Drosophila melanogaster: one gene and its partner. The gene in region 1 interacts genetically with each later gene. Each region holds a gene or a part of one and is shown in the gene's direction. Other genes may lie near its edges.

The links. Genes that interact genetically often act in the same process or in processes that back each other up.
Region 2: of bip1 (region 1) and Adgf-A, changing one suppresses a phenotype caused by changing the other (phenotypic suppression), as found in Drosophila melanogaster (one study listed by BioGRID).

What each region holds. Positions count from the first base shown.
Region 1 is NT_037436.4:8,054,720-8,063,305, reverse strand, and holds the start of bip1 (bip1), read left to right. Parts: upstream 1-4,592; 5' UTR 4,593-4,845; intron 4,846-5,212; exon of another isoform or gene 5,213-5,259; coding exon 5,260-5,426; exon of another isoform or gene 5,427-5,805; intron 5,806-6,930; exon of another isoform or gene 6,931-6,997; intron 6,998-7,097; exon of another isoform or gene 7,098-7,132; coding exon 7,133-7,430; exon of another isoform or gene 7,431-7,505; intron 7,506-7,866; coding exon 7,867-8,586.
Region 2 is NT_037436.4:17,759,393-17,767,978, reverse strand, and holds the start of Adgf-A (adenosine deaminase-related growth factor A), read left to right. Parts: upstream 1-3,820; 5' UTR 3,821-3,917; intron 3,918-5,074; exon of another isoform or gene 5,075-5,273; coding exon of another isoform or gene 5,274-5,378; intron 5,379-5,513; coding exon of another isoform or gene 5,514-5,941; intron 5,942-6,007; coding exon of another isoform or gene 6,008-6,080; intron 6,081-6,132; coding exon of another isoform or gene 6,133-6,384; intron 6,385-6,522; coding exon of another isoform or gene 6,523-6,618; intron 6,619-6,717; coding exon of another isoform or gene 6,718-6,777; intron 6,778-6,837; coding exon of another isoform or gene 6,838-6,945; intron 6,946-7,003; coding exon of another isoform or gene 7,004-7,258; intron 7,259-7,318; coding exon of another isoform or gene 7,319-7,351; intron 7,352-7,404; coding exon of another isoform or gene 7,405-7,578; intron 7,579-7,632; coding exon of another isoform or gene 7,633-7,665; intron 7,666-7,737; coding exon of another isoform or gene 7,738-7,833; exon of another isoform or gene 7,834-8,011; intron 8,012-8,096; exon of another isoform or gene 8,097-8,282; intron 8,283-8,425; exon of another isoform or gene 8,426-8,554; coding exon of another isoform or gene 8,555-8,586. Other genes in the region: CG32181 (uncharacterized protein), read right to left, coding at 5,274-5,378, 5,514-5,941, 6,008-6,080, 6,133-6,384, 6,523-6,618, 6,718-6,777, 6,838-6,945, 7,004-7,258 and 4 more; CG32182 (uncharacterized protein), read right to left, coding at 8,555-8,586.

The sequences.
Region 1 (8,586 bases):
AAATTAATAAGAAAACTAAAAATGATAAGGATAATCGCATTAATATGTAAACATTTTTTGGAAAGAGATAAATTTAAAAAATTCTTCAATATCTTGATTTTTTAATGCGTTAATGAGAACTTGAATACGTAAATTAAGTAAATTAAATAATAAATAAATCGACAGTACTTTAAGATTTAAATAGTGCCCTTAAGTGAATTGCCATTTAATGACTGCCGCCATGGCTGCGTGGGTTATTGTTGGAACTTAAATGTTTAAGAACCACAAGTTGCATCTTTAATTAAGTGTGTTTAAGACAAGCAGTTGGAACTGGCTTTTTTCTACAACTTGTTTGCAGGTGCTTTCTTTGGACTTCACCCCCTGCAACTCTCCACCCCATTCTACATACATACATATACATATACATACATATACATATACATATGCAAATTCGTATTTTTTCCCCTCCCACAACAAACACGCCCCCACAATAATTTGTTTTATTGCGATCGTAAAAACACTGAGCAACAGAATGGGAAAAATACAAAAATATGGTATTCGCCAGAGCCGCCAAAGTCGAGACAATGAAACCTGTTAATTAGCTTTGCTCAAATTTGGCAGAAAAGTATAGCGACAAAATAGCCAGGGCAAAAAGAAGAGTGAGCCACAATTGATTAATGCTCCACAGAGTCTTCGGTTTGTTTAGACCCCTCCTTCAATTTAAATACGTATTTATTTTTTGGCTGTTTTTGACTTTGAACTTGAAAAGGAGCATTGCCACGACGGAGTTGTATCAATAGAACTCTAATTGAAATATTATGGGGAGATTTTCATATGGATTCGGATATTAATTGAAATGTGGAATGGGCAAATTCTAAACTTTATACATCATTTTAGTTTTGTTCATAATTTATTTATAATAATTGATTTATAAATCATTTAGTTTTTGAAAGCGACAACCTTAACGATTATTTTCCATAAAACTGAACTATTCAGATTAGTTTGTTTCTCAGCTCAAAACCCCATTTAAATATGAATGCAATTATATTAAAGAACCCAATAAATCAAAGCGGCCATAAACGCGTGTCGTTTGGCTGTCCACTGTAGTGGAATAGCCATTTGTCACTTGGTATCACCGTGAATTAAACACTTTTCCCAGCCCCCAAACGCCTGATGCTAAAGCAGATTAAATCTTCGGAAATTAGACAATATCTTCATTAAATGATTTGCTCTAAAGAACTTATGGAAAGACGGCCCAAGGTAATCGGGTGTTAACTTAATCCAAACTCCATTAGCATCAGTTCGAAGCTGGAAAACCATTCAATGCCTCAGTTTAACCTTTGTGCGGCTGTGCTAACAACTCTGCTGACATATCATGGGGTTTTGGCCGGGAGGGGATTTTCCTCTGGTTGACCCACATACATAGCTCCCCAGAATACCGAATTCAGAATTGTTATGGTAATTTACAACCTCCAGTTAAATATTTCAGCTGCACCCAACTGTTGCAGCCCGCTGGGCTGCGCTTATTTATATTTGTATTGTGATCGAGTTGACAGTAGCACAAATTTTGATTGATGACGCTTGATTGACATTCGGGCAATTTGCTAATTCTATTTCTAGTTGGCCACGCTTGGAAAATGTGTCGCCTTTTGTGGGTCACCGCGGTCCTCAAACAATTCTTGTACATGCCGATCATTAATCATAATGAGTCGACTGCAATTGAGGTGGTCTTTGCAGTGGCTGCGTTGCTAACTAGCAAATTAATGGGAATTATGTACGCTGGGTGGCTGTTGGGAGCGAAAACTTTAATTAACTTGGGCTGTCAGGTCGAGTTGGCCGATTAACATACGCTCAGGCCTATCAAGTGTCTGCCATCAGTCTGTAAAAATGGAAAATATCCAGTCCAGTACGGCCACTCAAAGTCAAAGTGGAGCGGCTGTGCTGCGGCTACAACTAATTGAAATGCATTGAAAGTGCGTGCGACCAGTAAATGCTGCATATATAAAAAATATACAAACAAATAGCAACAACATAAACAAAAACAGTAACAGCAACAGCAGCTGCGTGTGAAATGTCAAGCGGTCCGCACTTTGGGCTAGTTGACATTTTGCCAGTTTGGCTAACCGAAAAACTACAACTTAATTACTCCCGTTTCGATCGTCAGCTCCCCCTAAGCAACCTTTGCGATGAATATCGCCATTTTGTTGCCTGTCATTTGTTGGGCAACAAATCGAAATATATAAAAAAAGTGACACTTGCCAATCTGCACAGTGTGATGTATGACGTTGACCCGATTTCGCCTGCTTTTTATTATCATTTCCATCGCCTGCATGTTGATTTCGTGTCTTGTCTGTCCGTACACACCTTTCCATGCCGCGACGAACGGCAATTTGTCTTTGCCTCAGGGGTGCCGATTATAATAATTCATCGGGAGTGCATTCGAGTGTGGGCAGCAAGTTCAAAGTGTTAAGTGTGATTTTCAAACATTCGTAATACACGGCGTATACTTAATGTTGCCGCAGTACAATGCCAGCGAATCGGATTGGCCTTCTGACACCCGAACAACAAATGTCAGGATGGCCGAGTGGTCTAAGGCGCTGCGTTCAGGTCGCAGTCTACTCTGTAGGCGTGGGTTCGAATCCCACTTCTGACAAGAACTTTTTGCCATTTTTTCGTTTTATTTTTTGAGCTACAAAAATAAAAATTTCTAAAATCCAAAGTATTTTACAATTATTAAATCAAGAATATACTCTCTCTTGACCAAACTGGAAATTGGCACTCGTTAGTTTAACAGTCAGGATGGCCGAGTGGTCTAAGGCGCTGCGTTCAGGTCGCAGTCTACTCTGTAGGCGTGGGTTCGAATCCCACTTCTGACAATACTCTTTTATTCTATTTTCCACAATTTTTTTCTAATACCAATTAAACTATTTTTACTTGTGCTAAACACACACTTCTTTTCAGTTTTGAGAATGAACCGTTTCAGTATGTGGTCCCCAACCAAAAGAAAATTTGATCTTACGGCTCTTGAGAGTCAGGATGGCCGAGTGGTCTAAGGCGCTGCGTTCAGGTCGCAGTCTACTCTGTAGGCGTGGGTTCGAATCCCACTTCTGACAAAGATTTTTTGTCCAATTTCATTCAGCAAAACGATTAATTTTTCCAACTAAAACTTTTTTTGCCCCTCACAATGATCACCATTTGTTTGGAGCATACATTAGATTGCTTTAACGAGCCAGCTTCCCTCTCAGGGGCGCCAGAAAAATTACAAGTAAATCAATTTGTAACCGCCTAATTGTCAATATTCCAATCACATAATCGGCTGCCAGTTAACGATTGCCCCCGGCTGTCGGGCAGACCGACAGATACAGCGAGACCACACAGGCGATGATCAAGCCTGGCCCCCTTGGGAATTATCGCCGTCTGGCATCGCCTGCAAACACTTCTACTTCTACATTCATCGCCAGCTCGAGTCATTCGGCTCAATCAGACAGAAATTAAAATGCTGACTGAGCGCGTTTTCGAATGCGGCCCACTCAGTAGTTTGTGTTTTCACAATTGTTCTTGGGAAAAAACAGTGCAGGTCCATCCGTAATTATGCTGCTGTTTGTCGGTCGTAAAACGCAATCAACTGGCCACGACAATTGACAATTTGGCTAGTGTAAAACTAGCCATTAAAGTTTTATTTGCTTTAGCACTTGAGAAATTGAGGCTGGCCTGGCCATAACAGGCGAATGGGTCAATTGGCATGTGACAGCAAGAAGCTGCAAGCTGCAGGCTGCAATTTCCACAGACAATGCAAATTGACGTCTTGGAAATATGAGTGATGTGACAAGTGGATGCTTATCTGCGGCTCGACGCCCCTGTTTTTTTTCGAGGGGCTTGCCTCCTTCGTCTGATGAGCGCCCATTGAAATTTATGACTTCGTCGAACCGCCAATTGATTGGCTTTTAAATATCCAAATGAAGGCTGCCAATCGCGAATTGTGCGGCCGTAATTAATGTACAAAAATCATTTGAACGCACGCCCCAAAGCAACACCTGCAGCTGTTGGTATCTTTATTTATGGAAAGCTTTTAACACTTTTAATTAATTATGGGATGGAAAAGTTGGCGGCTTAGCTATGTTGCAAATTTATGACACTACAAATTGATAATTGATAAGCAAAAATGCTATCTAAATGCTAATTTCTCGAAAAGCATATAAAACTAGAGTTAAGTGGTATTTAAGTATTGCAATGTACAATTAATATATTATATACAATCAACTACAAGGTGCGTAATTGAAAGGTGCGCAGACATCATATTATTAAGTAGTAGTTGAAGTATTATTTTCTTCGATTTGATACATATTCATTGCGCAGTACTTTATTCTTTAAAACACTATTATTTTAAATATGACTCATTAAAATAATAAATCATAAAAGAAATACCTATTTTTTAATGTCCTTCAATGGTAGTTTTTACTGTGCGCGATTGAAATCTCAGCCTGATTCCGAATTTGTCAGAGCTTTCCGGCGAAGATCTCGCACGCATGGGCACAAAGCTCGACAAAGCTGGAGAGACGCTCTCCAAACCGAGCTTCGCGCGGTGCCTTCGCGTGACGCAGGCGGAGCTTTCGACAGTCTGCTCCCACGAGTGACGTAGCGCAGTATAGAATGCAGAACGTAACAGAATCGTAATCGGAGCCGCATAGCATACCGCTAATTAGAAGATAGATGCCCTTTTCATTTAATCGTATCTAGCTGCGATCGCTTAAACCGGCGCCAATTGTATTCAAAGTTCCGTAACCGAAAGCTTTCACCTAGAGTTCTTGCCGTGGGGTTATTAAACTCAGAACTGCCGGTCAGAGAAAAGGAGACTTTGTGTGACAGGTGAGTTCATTATGTACATATGTATCTGTTTTCCTAAGATAAGCATAGGTAAATAATGGCGATGTGGGGTACATATGTTTATATTTAATTTCAAAGTATTTTGTAAAAGGTAAGACCACGCGGCTTTGAAAGGCAAGCACAAGTTATCCAAAAAAGCTTTTCCGTGGATGTGCATCTTATTGGTGCTTTTCTACGTGCAGCAAAGCAAGCTTTTATTCGCCAGAGCGAAAGTTCTTGGGGTCACTCTAGGTTTTCTTTTATTCCAAGAAAGAAAATAAGAAAATAAATAAGATATATGTATGTACTTATTTTAATGGTTTTCTAAACTAGAGCTTATTAATAAAATGATAAAAGAAGCAATAACCTTAAATTAAAATGAGTGATTTTATCCAATTTTAAAATAATATTTGATAGATGACGAATACGATAACCACTCTTCGGATTTGCCAGGCTGTGTCGCTAAATCCTAGCGCGAATGGGCCGGAACCAGTATTGCCACCTTCCTCCAGGATTTGTCTGATGGGTTGCCAGGATGTAAAGCCCAATGATCTGCGTCGTTTTCCAGTCCACGATACCGATCGGTGAGTATTATACACATACATACATACATATGTAGGTTCCTCCTGCCAAGAACCACATTAAACCTGTTTTTAGAGCCTACGGAGAGCTTTCCGATCGATTCGATCACCGAAGCTTGTTTTTGTTGCGAATCACAAGTGCTCATTCTATATTTTAAACACCATACCATTAAAGCCATAACAATCCAAAGCTTTGGACCCCGCTCGGTGCTCCTCTTCTTCGTCTGATACCGATACCGATACTCGCAGTCAAAGGTCATTGAACTTTCGCCCTCCCTCTCTTTCTCTGTCTCTGTCTCTCTGTTTTTTTCTCGGTTCGCATAAAAGTGCATCATTTTCATAGGAATATTTCAATGCCATGGCGGCTAAGAACTTGTGCAGTGCAGCAATCAGAAATGCAATAATGCCGATGTGGGCGGGGCAGTGGGTGGGCGGGGGATAGGTCCCAGATTCCGACTCCCATTTATTTATAGCTCTCACGCTCTCCTGTAAATGCAACAAATGCGCGTGGGGCTCTGCTCTGCTGGCCGTGAAGTGAAGTTATTTTGTGTTTCTTTGCTGCTTCTTCATCTCCAGTTTCTGCAGTTGGTGCGCAAAAAAAAAAAATAGAGTTCCGTCTGCCAAAGTTACTTGGCATTGGCCATGGAGTTTAGAGTGGACCACTGTTAAGCGAATTCTTCCTCTTTCCGAGGAAACCCCAGAATGTTAAGCTTTATTTATTATCAAGGAAAGCTCATATTTTACCTTTCGTCGGTATTATCACTAAATGTACTTTGAGACCAAAAAAGTGAAAGTCACTTTTATAAGCAAAATCGAAATAAGAATGACGTTTGCTAAGTTTAATTATAATAGTTGGTTATCTAACTGTAGTCATTGAGTTCCGTTTAAAAATTTTCAAGATATAGTATGAAATTTTAAAGTGAATTATGACAATAATTTTAATTTCACACAGTTGTACGTTGGTTTTGTAAGTTAAGCATAAACCATTCTTATGAAAATGGTTTCAAGCGATTAAAATTTATTTAAAACTTGGCTAGTAAGTCAGATTAAATATGGTATGAGTAGGCAAATGATTTTGCTGTCCCTGACCTGCACAATAATTTCGCATTCGGTCCACCCTAAAGGCCTTAATTGTTGTTGTTGTTTCGCCTAGCCATAAGCATAAGGCAAAAAGAAAATAAGCCTCATTCCCCCATCTTCCACAAATCGGCAGAAACAACAAAAATAGGGGGAAGTTGAGCAGAAGCTGCAGCAAAAGCAACAGCAACAACAAACAATAACAATTCCCCGCGAAACTTCCGCTGAGCGAGAAGGAGCGTACGAAAGCGTTGCTTCTCGTTCGCACTCGCAAAAGAAGCATAAAAAGAGCTTAATTGCAGCGAAAACTTTTTCAAGAACTTTTCCAAGAGAGAGCGATAAAGAGAGCGGAGAGCGAAAGTCGGATCTAATTTGAAAGCGTCGCAAGAACCAGAACGAAACTCCAATGCAGTTTCATTTTGTCAGTTTAATCATTAAACAAAGAACTGCGCAACCGATCGCAACTAGCTCGTGGACTCTTGTTCTCCCAATAATTGGTATGTTTTCCATTTTGCGTTAACATGGAAAATGTGTGAAAAGCTTTTTCCCCCTCCAAAAGAAGCGTACTGAACTAAGCTTTCGGTGGTTAGTAATAGTAGTCGTTATATCTTATTTTTCTTATTTACGTGCAGCTGCAATCATTGGCTGCGTCACTTTGGCGTCAGCTATAAACTGGTGGATCAACTCGGCGGCCTCCAAAAGCTGCGCATCTGCTCCAGACACTTTAGCCAACGCCAGGAGATGGCCAAAACCCGCATCAAGATGACGCCGCTGCGCAAGTCCTCGTCCTCCAAGGGCATTGTGCTACCCATTAATGCCGCTGGAGGGTCGGTCATTGCAGGCGCCTTAGCAGGAGGAGGAGGTGCAGGAACTGGGAGCGGTGCTGTCAAGTCGGCGGTGGCCAGCAGCACCACCATTGAACTTGTTGAGGTGAGTGGCAGCACAAAAGAAAACAAAAGTTCAGCTTTCATAGGGGTTGGTAATTGACCCAAGCTAAATTTCAGTTCAGACAGAAATTATGTTTTAGACTCCGTAACGCAATTTTCGTTGTTTATTAACCAATTGAAATAAATCGTATAGGTATTTGAGCATTAAATGGTATTCCAAAAACGGGCATGCTATTAGAGTTAGTTTAACAACAATACAAGCATGTCTTAAAAAAATACGTACAAAGCTATTTATTCCGTAAAAGTTTAATTTTTTATAACGAATAGCGACAGATCCTGAACTTTTAAAATTTCAGAGAACCCTTCAACGTTCTTTCTCTTTAAATTTCATATTTTAAAGATATGGTTAAAACTGCTTGTATGCATATATAAATATATACCACTATAAATGTATTTTAATGAACCGCATTTTTTTGCAGAGCCCCAATAGACATCAGGCCAAGAAGCCCAACACCGGCATTATGCCCATGCCACAGCGTTCCCACTCCATTAGCTCCTCGGCCTCCAGCGATGTGCTGTCCATAAACTCCGACTACGAAGCCTCGTTACCACTATCAGCCTTAGAGGATTCCCAGAATGGACTGAACCGCTTGGAGAACGGTCAAGCCAAGAAGAGGAAACTGTACGTGATCACCGAAAAATCGGATGAGACGAAAGGTCAGACTCTGGAGACAAATGGACAGCCCAAGAAGCGTAAGATGTTCGTGGTTGTGGAGCAGGATAAAGATGTGGCGGGCAAGAAACTAATGATTATGGCCGACAAGCCGCAGACCAATCTTACCCAGCATTTGGAGAAACTACTGCCCGAGCTATTGAATCGCATACAGGACAAAGAACAGAAGCAGATCAAACCAGCTCCAGTGGTGACTAAAGCCAAGCCGGTGGTTAACAATCCCAGACCACATATAACATTGCCGCCCAAAAAGAATCCAACTAATTTTGCAAAGATCACGTCCACACCAAGCTCAGTGCCTTCATCCATTCAGATGCCACTGCCAATTCAGAATACCAAGATCCTAAAGTCCGAGAATTCGGAACTGACAATGAATTCGGATGAGATCGAGACGAACATAAATCTATCGCCCGACTTCCGCTTCCTAATGAAAATCCTACCCAAATTGGAACAGCTGCCCGAGCCC
Region 2 (8,586 bases), 9.7 Mb from region 1:
CAGCCATTTGCATCTGCGTGGATGTATTAAACATGAGGCAAATGAAAAGCGGAAGTGCCAACCAGGCGGCGAGCGATTTTCGCGGTCTCTTGCGCCGATGGCAGAAGTCAGTGCGGAAAATGAAGGAAAACTCAGGCCACCGCACCACACCGCCATGCCACGCCATTTGCGGTTGCATTTTGTACCCCTTCCGCATTTATTACTCATGCAAAGAATCCACCAAGGAGCGTATTTTGGTCGCCAAGGGAGAGGGGATGGGGTTGGGGGATTTTGGGGGCGGGATCTCCGGCGACTGTTTGAAATTCATGACTTGTTTAGTGCACATGCCGCATAATGTTGCATACATTTGGAGCGGTTGGCGGCAGTGCCGCGGGCTTATTGCAGCTGGCACTATTTGCTGTTTTTGCTGCTGTTATTACCGCTTCTGTTGCTGGTGTTGTTGGTATTGTTTCGAAATGAGGAGCACCGCACAAATATGCAAGCAAGCCAGGATGTATGTGAGAAGGTGCGTCACAAAACTATATGGTGTGCTAACAAAAGTTCAATGAGCCTCTCATATTTCACAAACTGACAGTAGGAACATTGTTATAAGCCAATAACTGACAGCAAAACATTAAATAATATACATACGTAGAACATAGAGAAAAGGTGTATAGAATATAAGTTTAGCTGCACTAATTTGGCAAATGCCTGGCTTAGCTGTTATTTCGCGCACCTTCTGCAGTCATGCACACTTAAGCCAACATAAGTACTACTGTATTTGGATAATATTTATGCATTTTCACATAAATGTCAGGCATGTGTGTGCGTAAGATGTGCATTCATGGCTTCGACTTGTTCTGCATGCTAATTGCCTTTGACGTTAAATGAAAGAGATAGAGGAGCAAACAAAGAAAGAGAGGGAGCACATCTGTCTACAGCACTCATAAATTGCTCGCCTGCTTTTGATTATGTGCGAAAATGGTTCATAGTGCGCCTTGATAAACCAATTTCGAATTTTAATTAACTATTAAGCTACCGATCGATTCTATTTTATAACGAAATATGTTAGGAAATATTTTATTCTATTTATTTTTTTGCGTATGTATGTATTGGAAAAATTCTATGTTTTCTATTTGCCTGCGGCTAAAACGAAACGATAATTTCTGTGAGAAGCCAGTTTAAACTTTGCGATCCAAATCATTTTCCAGTTGCGCACAAAAATATGCAGCTGAACAAAAATTAAACCTTGATTTGGAAATTATTCCTTCGCAACCAAATGTTTGCTTCGAAATTGAAGCAAGTTAGCGAATCGTGTTGCATAATTTACTGCAGGCACTGTGCGTTTTGCAATCGTGTACTGCCACTATTTACCGCCACAATTTCCCAATCCCATCCTGGGCTAATGGCTCTCTGCATATTTCATCACATTAAGTGCCAAAACAACGCATAATCAACTTCCGTGAACCCCTTGCCCTATTGTAGGTCTATTTCAGTGAGGTTAAGGAGCACTCTCCGTGTAACTGAATTAAATTCCGTTTCCAATGCTGCACCATCTAACAAACTACCGCAAAATGTTGCAAGCTGGAAATTCACCCCATTATCAACGCAACTGGGCTGGTTAAGTTCCCATCGAATATCCCGTTTTTCCCACACCCACTCGCCAATCATCGAGTGCACTAATTATACAGCTAAACAATTTTGTATAGCGGTGGTCTTTTGTTTATTTGACTAAACGTATTTTGTATCAGCTTTGCGCAAAGACCCGATTGCCACAAATTGGTGGCATAAACATATACTATCTCGGTTACCGCAAAAATCACAGATTAATCAGAGTTAAGTAAAGAACTTTATGATCTTAGTGAAACTTCGCAGTGCTAATTAAGTGAGCTCATATGTTACACTTGAAAATATTACAAGGCATTCTAAAGCGAATGTTTTGTAATTTAAAAGAAAATATTATTCATTCTTCAAATATTTGCGCATTACTAACATAAATGAACTGGGCTGCTTATTTTTTTTTTTTTGTTTGTGTTAATATGAGCTTCTTAAATTCACACATCCCTTGATTCCGCTATTTAATTGATCGATGATTGTATAAAATTCGTATACAAAAAATATAAATATAAGTTCGAACGGAACAATTAATCAATGTGAATAAAAAAACGCGCTGATTGAAGTGCAGTCAGTACTGATGACTACCTTTCACTTGGTTTTAAGTTCTTCAAAAATAATTAGTCATAAAGTGCATGCAATAGCTATAATTATATTATAGACACGGCGGATGGGTGTTTCTAAGCCCTCGAGATTAGCACATGCCATAAATTCATTTAAGTCCACATAATCCATTCCTCACAAACACACCCGGCCATAACCGTAAAGCCATTCATACATTAGCTCAGACAGTGCTCATGATCTGAATCAGCTTTACTCGGAAATTCTGGCCCAAAGCAATTGCCCTGTGAAATTTGCGTGGGATGCAGTTATGAATTTATTTATGACTCTCGTTCTCCGGATGCCTGTGCTCGTGTTTACCTCTCCTTTGTCCTCCTTAGTTTTGTAATCCTTTTGGAATTTTATTTGCTTTCCATATACACATTTAAACATTTGCACATCCATGACCAAAAATAGCAGAGCCAAAAATATATCTCTACTATCTGGGCAATGTGCAACACATTCGTTGGGAGAACATTAATTTAAACCTAAGCCAAATCACAGAAATTTTATTATAAACACAGTAACAGTTTGCACTGCAGTCATTCTAAAGGGATTCATGAATGCACGGGGTGTGTTAAAATTCGCTAACGAAATCATGTCTCACAAATATTCGAATATTTATACTCTAATTGTATTCAACGTGGAAAACGGCTTGTATTGAAGAGATACCCATTTCCTAAGCACTTACCTATTTAAATTAATGTTGCTACTCAAATTTTAAAACTGCTTTTGTTTGTACTTTTCGGAATTCAGATAACTAATTTTTATACTTCTTCATGACAAAATATCACTAAAATTTTATAGATCATTGCTATCTGCGCGGGCAGGTTTGTGTTCTTTTCCATAATTTTTTGTGAGTATTGCTGCAAGATGGGTGGTCCAAACTTTTTATTTATTTTTCCCATCTCTGGAGCAAATGCGTTTTGTTTATAAAACAAAAAAAAAGTTGCATATATAAGTACATTACCATTTGCGAACATTGTCTGATTGAATAATTGATTTTTTTGAATGGAATTTGAAAAAAGTGTGAGGAAAATATGTATGTACCTTAAGAATGTGTTCGTTTATCATAAAACAAATAAATAATTAACATATTATTAAATACTATTTCATAGGTAATACATATGCACATATACAGAAATATCCGCTAATTTTGTTAAGGAATTTAAGATTTCTGGTTAATTAAACAAGTATTATACATTATTCTGAACTTGTAGCTTTAAGGAAACCCCAGCAATTTGATAAGCTAATGTTCTATATTAATTATAAATAAATATCCTTATTATAAGTGCTAGCTTTTCCTAATAATAATTTGTATAAAACCCATTTTTATGTATGCATATGTTTGATTGTATATATATGTGGAGAACATCAAATACGACCCTCGTTTTCTTGTTTTCAGGCCGGTCTCTTGGTTTTAAAAAGAGAACCGGAGCGAGAACTTTATCTTTATATTGTGTGATATTGCTGCCTTCTCATTAATTCTAACCCACTGATAAAACATGAAGAAAGAAAACCAAGGGCTGATTGTGCAGCGAGCGATTGATTGAAGTCCGCCGTCGACGTCGGCGCTCCGACGAGGGATCATAGAGGGAGGTTCTCCGGTTCGAGTTCTGGATCGTTGGAATCAGTCGTTGGGAGGCACTTTTGGCGTGAAGATCGCGGCGAGGAAGTGCTCGGAATCTGAAATTTTAAGTCATATTGTGTGGTCTACGCTTGTGGTAAAGTTTCGTTTGATTATGTACATGGTGTTGAAATCAAATACAAATATTGTATAATTAAAGATAGCCAAGAAATTTAGATTTTCAAAAAACACTAGATAAATACAGCTGAAACTCAATTGATGATTATGCGCCATAAATATTTTTGAATGCAAACAATAAGCAAGACAAAGGGCATAAAAAACAAGGGAGTAAAAGTCACATAATTGATTCATTTATGCAAACTCTGCGAAATTAATCTATGAATATTCACCACGTTAAGCCATTTAAAAACAACAAAAACTCCAACCGATTGGCCATTTAACATTTTGTTTATTTGATTTAATCACTTTGTTATGCTTGCTTATTTGTTGTAAAATCAGCCTGCTGAATGAAAATCACTAGATATTAAAAAAAAAGAGCGTGCAGCGATGTCTTTGTGTTTTTGAGAACCACCAGCTGATTACTTATTTTTAACTCAGCTTTCTTTTATGTCCAAATTTTAGTTCTCTTTAGTTGTGTCTCTTAAAAAATTGAATGTGTCGGAGAGTGTGTTATCACACGTGATATATGTACGTACGTATTCACAATATTGTGCTCAACGAACCAAAGACATTTTTCTTTTTGTGGTCTTTTACGGCTTTCTTTAAACCATTTTTAGTCATTTATATTTTTTAAATCTCTTTTGTTAACTAACATTTGTTACTAACACTCCACACTAATGAAAAAACTTTTTTTTGTGTTATAATATACAATTAGTTTATGTGAAGCTTACGTAGTAATTAGTAAATGTGTTTATTTTTTTCCAGTGAGGTTTGTTTTTCGGCTATGCCGCCGATGATTTTGGCAAAATGTTTACCGCTAAGGCGCATTATTTATTACTGTTTTTAATCGTTTTCAGTGTTATTTAATTACGCAACATTGTATAACAATGCATTTGATCCATAAATAGCAAACATTAAATTATTTATGCAGAGTCTGACGAATCCCGTACCATAAAGATTATACGTGTATAGATTGCTCATTTCCAAGTCATTCATAAGTCTGATTAATTGCTTAACAATTTTCCCTTATCGGTCAGAAGTTGTGATCCAATCTGAAGTAGTTTGAACCGAATGGAAGTGAATGGTTTTATAATATTCACTTCCTTGCCCTGACCGATAAATTTCTAGATTAATAGGGGACTTTTTTGAAACTTTATTGTAGTGACTTCTGTTGGTATTAAGAATGGTTCAGTTGCAAAAAATAATAAATCACTCATATTTTGGCTCTGTTGATACGAAACGCACTACATTCATTAAAAATATTGTGTCCCGAGCAAAATGAAGTCCAGTGAGACGCATAAATGCATTTTTCCGATTGAAAATCCGTTTAAATTTACCGATGAGTGGGCGTTGTTGTGGCTGAATAGGAATGGACTTTAATTCTTTCATCAAAGAGATTAGTTTCAAAGCGATTGATATGCGCATCAAAGGCGGAATCCTGTAAATAGAAAATTTTTATTCAATACTGAAATCGAATTTTGATGTAAATGAGGTACGATTTAATTACGTTGTCTGACTAATGAATGAAAAGTAGTGTATGCATTTTATAAACACAAAATATAATAGTACTCACTCTTTCGAAACTGGTACGATACTCGGTCTCGGCTTTCAGAAAGGCAGCCACACTTCTATTGACTTCCGACTTAATTTTCGGACTAAAATGAGAATCAATTTCCTCACTGATTGTTGTCCGTGGACGCCTTGACCTGCGCTCTTTTGATTGATTTCTCAAATCTCTATTTCCCTCCTCACTTCGATTCTTTTCTTTGCGTATCTCTTTGCGCTCGTGGTCGATGCGCAACTTGATTGCTTCTATCATGGTGACAGGATCCACCGGATATGGTTTCTCCGGAATGGGTCCTGCAAAAGCAATCTCCCTGGAGTACTCGTTGAAATTCTCACTTCCATCGAGACTGGCTTGTATAACGCCAGGACAATAGGGATCATTTACAAAGGTTTCGTGATATTCGTTCTGAATGCGCTCAACCAAACGATCCTCAGCTTTTAGAGAGATTTAATAATAATAAATTATAATTAATTAAATTAATTTAATTATACACAACCTACGTGTTTGAACGGGCACTCGCATTGAACGTCCTCGCAAGGAAGAATTTCGCTTAGTTTTCTCCAGCGAAGTTGGCTATCAAAACAAGGATTACTTCACATGGCTACCACGTAAATTATGAACTTACAGTCGAGCACGACCTCCCTGACATTACTTGAGACATTTCCAAAAGTCTTTGATTTCCGGAGGCAGACGTGTTTGCACAACAGGCATAGTTTTGACTATCTTTCATACTTCTGTCACAGGCAGTAGAGCCACGACTACAGCAACTATATTGACTTTCGGGGGGATCCGAGTAATATTTTGTATTCTTACTCATAGATTGCTCACAATTGGATATCTGATTCATAGAGACATCTTGGCAAATATCTTGCGACTGCTTATATTGTGCATTAATAAAGAAAGGGGTTTAAAATTATGATTTTGATCTATTGTTTTTCATGAGGCTTTTAAACACCACATTCAAAAACCCCAACTTTTGAATAAAGTTCGCAACTGCTGGCATAATTAAACTTACGTTTCTGAGACTCTGGTTCGCCTGTGGTTTACATCTAGCGTTTCGCAAAGTCTCTGGTGGCTGAAGATAACTTGTTTCATTAGTTTTGGTTTCGTACTGGATTTTAAAGAGAAATGAACAAATTTGTAACAATGTTATATTAGAATACTGATATTAAATATCATGAATTTGGCAACATTGGATATGGTAACATACCTTCGTTTGATTACGCACCATTTCTGGTGTTTGATCGCACTCAAGAATTGATCGTGACGCCTTTTTGAAAGTATACAAAAATATTTAAAATTAGTAAATACAAATAATTTTTTTACATACACTTTGTTGCTGGCGAGAGTTGCATTTCTGACAAATTGAGTTTGGTTGCAGGCGGGATTGCTGGTGACGATCATCTTGATTTATTCTCGTGCTATTGAGATCAGGTGCCTGTTTGAAGTGTTTAAAAATTGCATAGACTTAGAGATTTCGGATTTCGATAACTTACAAATTCAATGGGATCTTCATCTTCCAACCAAGATAAATTCGCTTGATTCTGCTGTCTAGCTTGCTGTTGCTGATATTGCTGCTGTTGAATTTTTTGCAACAGCAATTGGCGTCTTTGAAACTCGCCATAGTTCATGCCAACTTGAGAGCTATTATTCCAATCGATTGAGGTGTTATTTCTGCAGCCAGTAGCCGTATCATGATTACTGCTCTGATCGGTGGGACAACGGTTTCCGCTCGGTACTTTTAACTCGCACTTTCGGTATAAGTATTTAAATAGCAATTTACGAATAAATTTATTTACTTTTAAACATACCGGTGTTTGCGGTTTGATCCTTTTGTCCGAGTGCTGAAATTTCATAATTTTCACAATGGCTTAAGTCTTTTAGTTTAGTCACTTACGTTGTGGGTGGAATTATGATGACTAGTCTTATTATTTCTGTAATTTTGCCTGGGGAAGCTATGGGATCGGGAATGTTGAGATACGTTGACTAGAGGTTGAAAGCGAGGTAAAGAATTTTTCGGAATCTGAAGGGGTATGCTATTATTCGGGCACTCCGGCATGTTGCAACATTGCTAAAATTTAAATATTCGCGTAACAAGAGTTTTGAATTACGAAATCATACGCACATATTCATCGTCCTTGTTATAAGAGGGCGGGAGCTATAATTTAACATTTAAAAAATTTTAATTTTAAATTTCGAAAGCATATGTTTTTTTTTTATGAATCATTACCACATCCTGTGTCACCGACGAATGTTTCTGTCTGCTGCCATCGAGGGTATGTTGGTATAGGGGTTCTTGAAATGGTTCAACAGGGTTGCGTGGCATTGAGAACCTACTAACGGTAGGACAGGGATCGAAGCTGTCGTCGTCGCTAATGGGATCCGTTCCTTGAGAGAACCTCTGGCAGGGATTTCGGGTTGAACTTGCTTCGTTCAGATCCTTCTGGTTTCCCAAAAACCGATTGAATGCCAAATACAGCTCATCGGGCAGCAGAACAGAATTCCTAACAATCCATCCATCCATTCATAAACATACACGCTTTTTAGATTATAATCTGTTAATTATCAGACGAAGACTCCGATACTTACAAACAATCTAAAAAATCGGAGTACAGTTTTGATGATTTAAAATCAATTCGATGACCAAAAATATGTGTGTAACTGTTGGTATATTTATAATAACTTCATTTGGTTCCAGAAGTGTTGCAAAATAGTATTTGCAATAACTTTTTAAATTCTGAATTTACATGGTATGTACGGTTACAAAAGTTTGTTTTGGAAATTTGTTGAAAATTGTTGATAAGGAAGGGTGATGCTTGACTACGATTTGAAGTGTTTCCTAAAGCATATACTTTTGCTTTCCTTGTTTTTTCAACTGTCACAAGTAAATATCAACAAAATGCCAGTTAAAATGTCTTACTTTGCTCTAATTTAAAAACATATTTATTATTGAATATTGCTTAAAGAAATAACACAATGAGTTCATGTTCACTTTAAATACTCAGGGGCAGCACACGAGATTTACCTAATTTGCTGTTATTCGCCCCCTACATCAGCAATCCATTATCCTTTTGGCCTA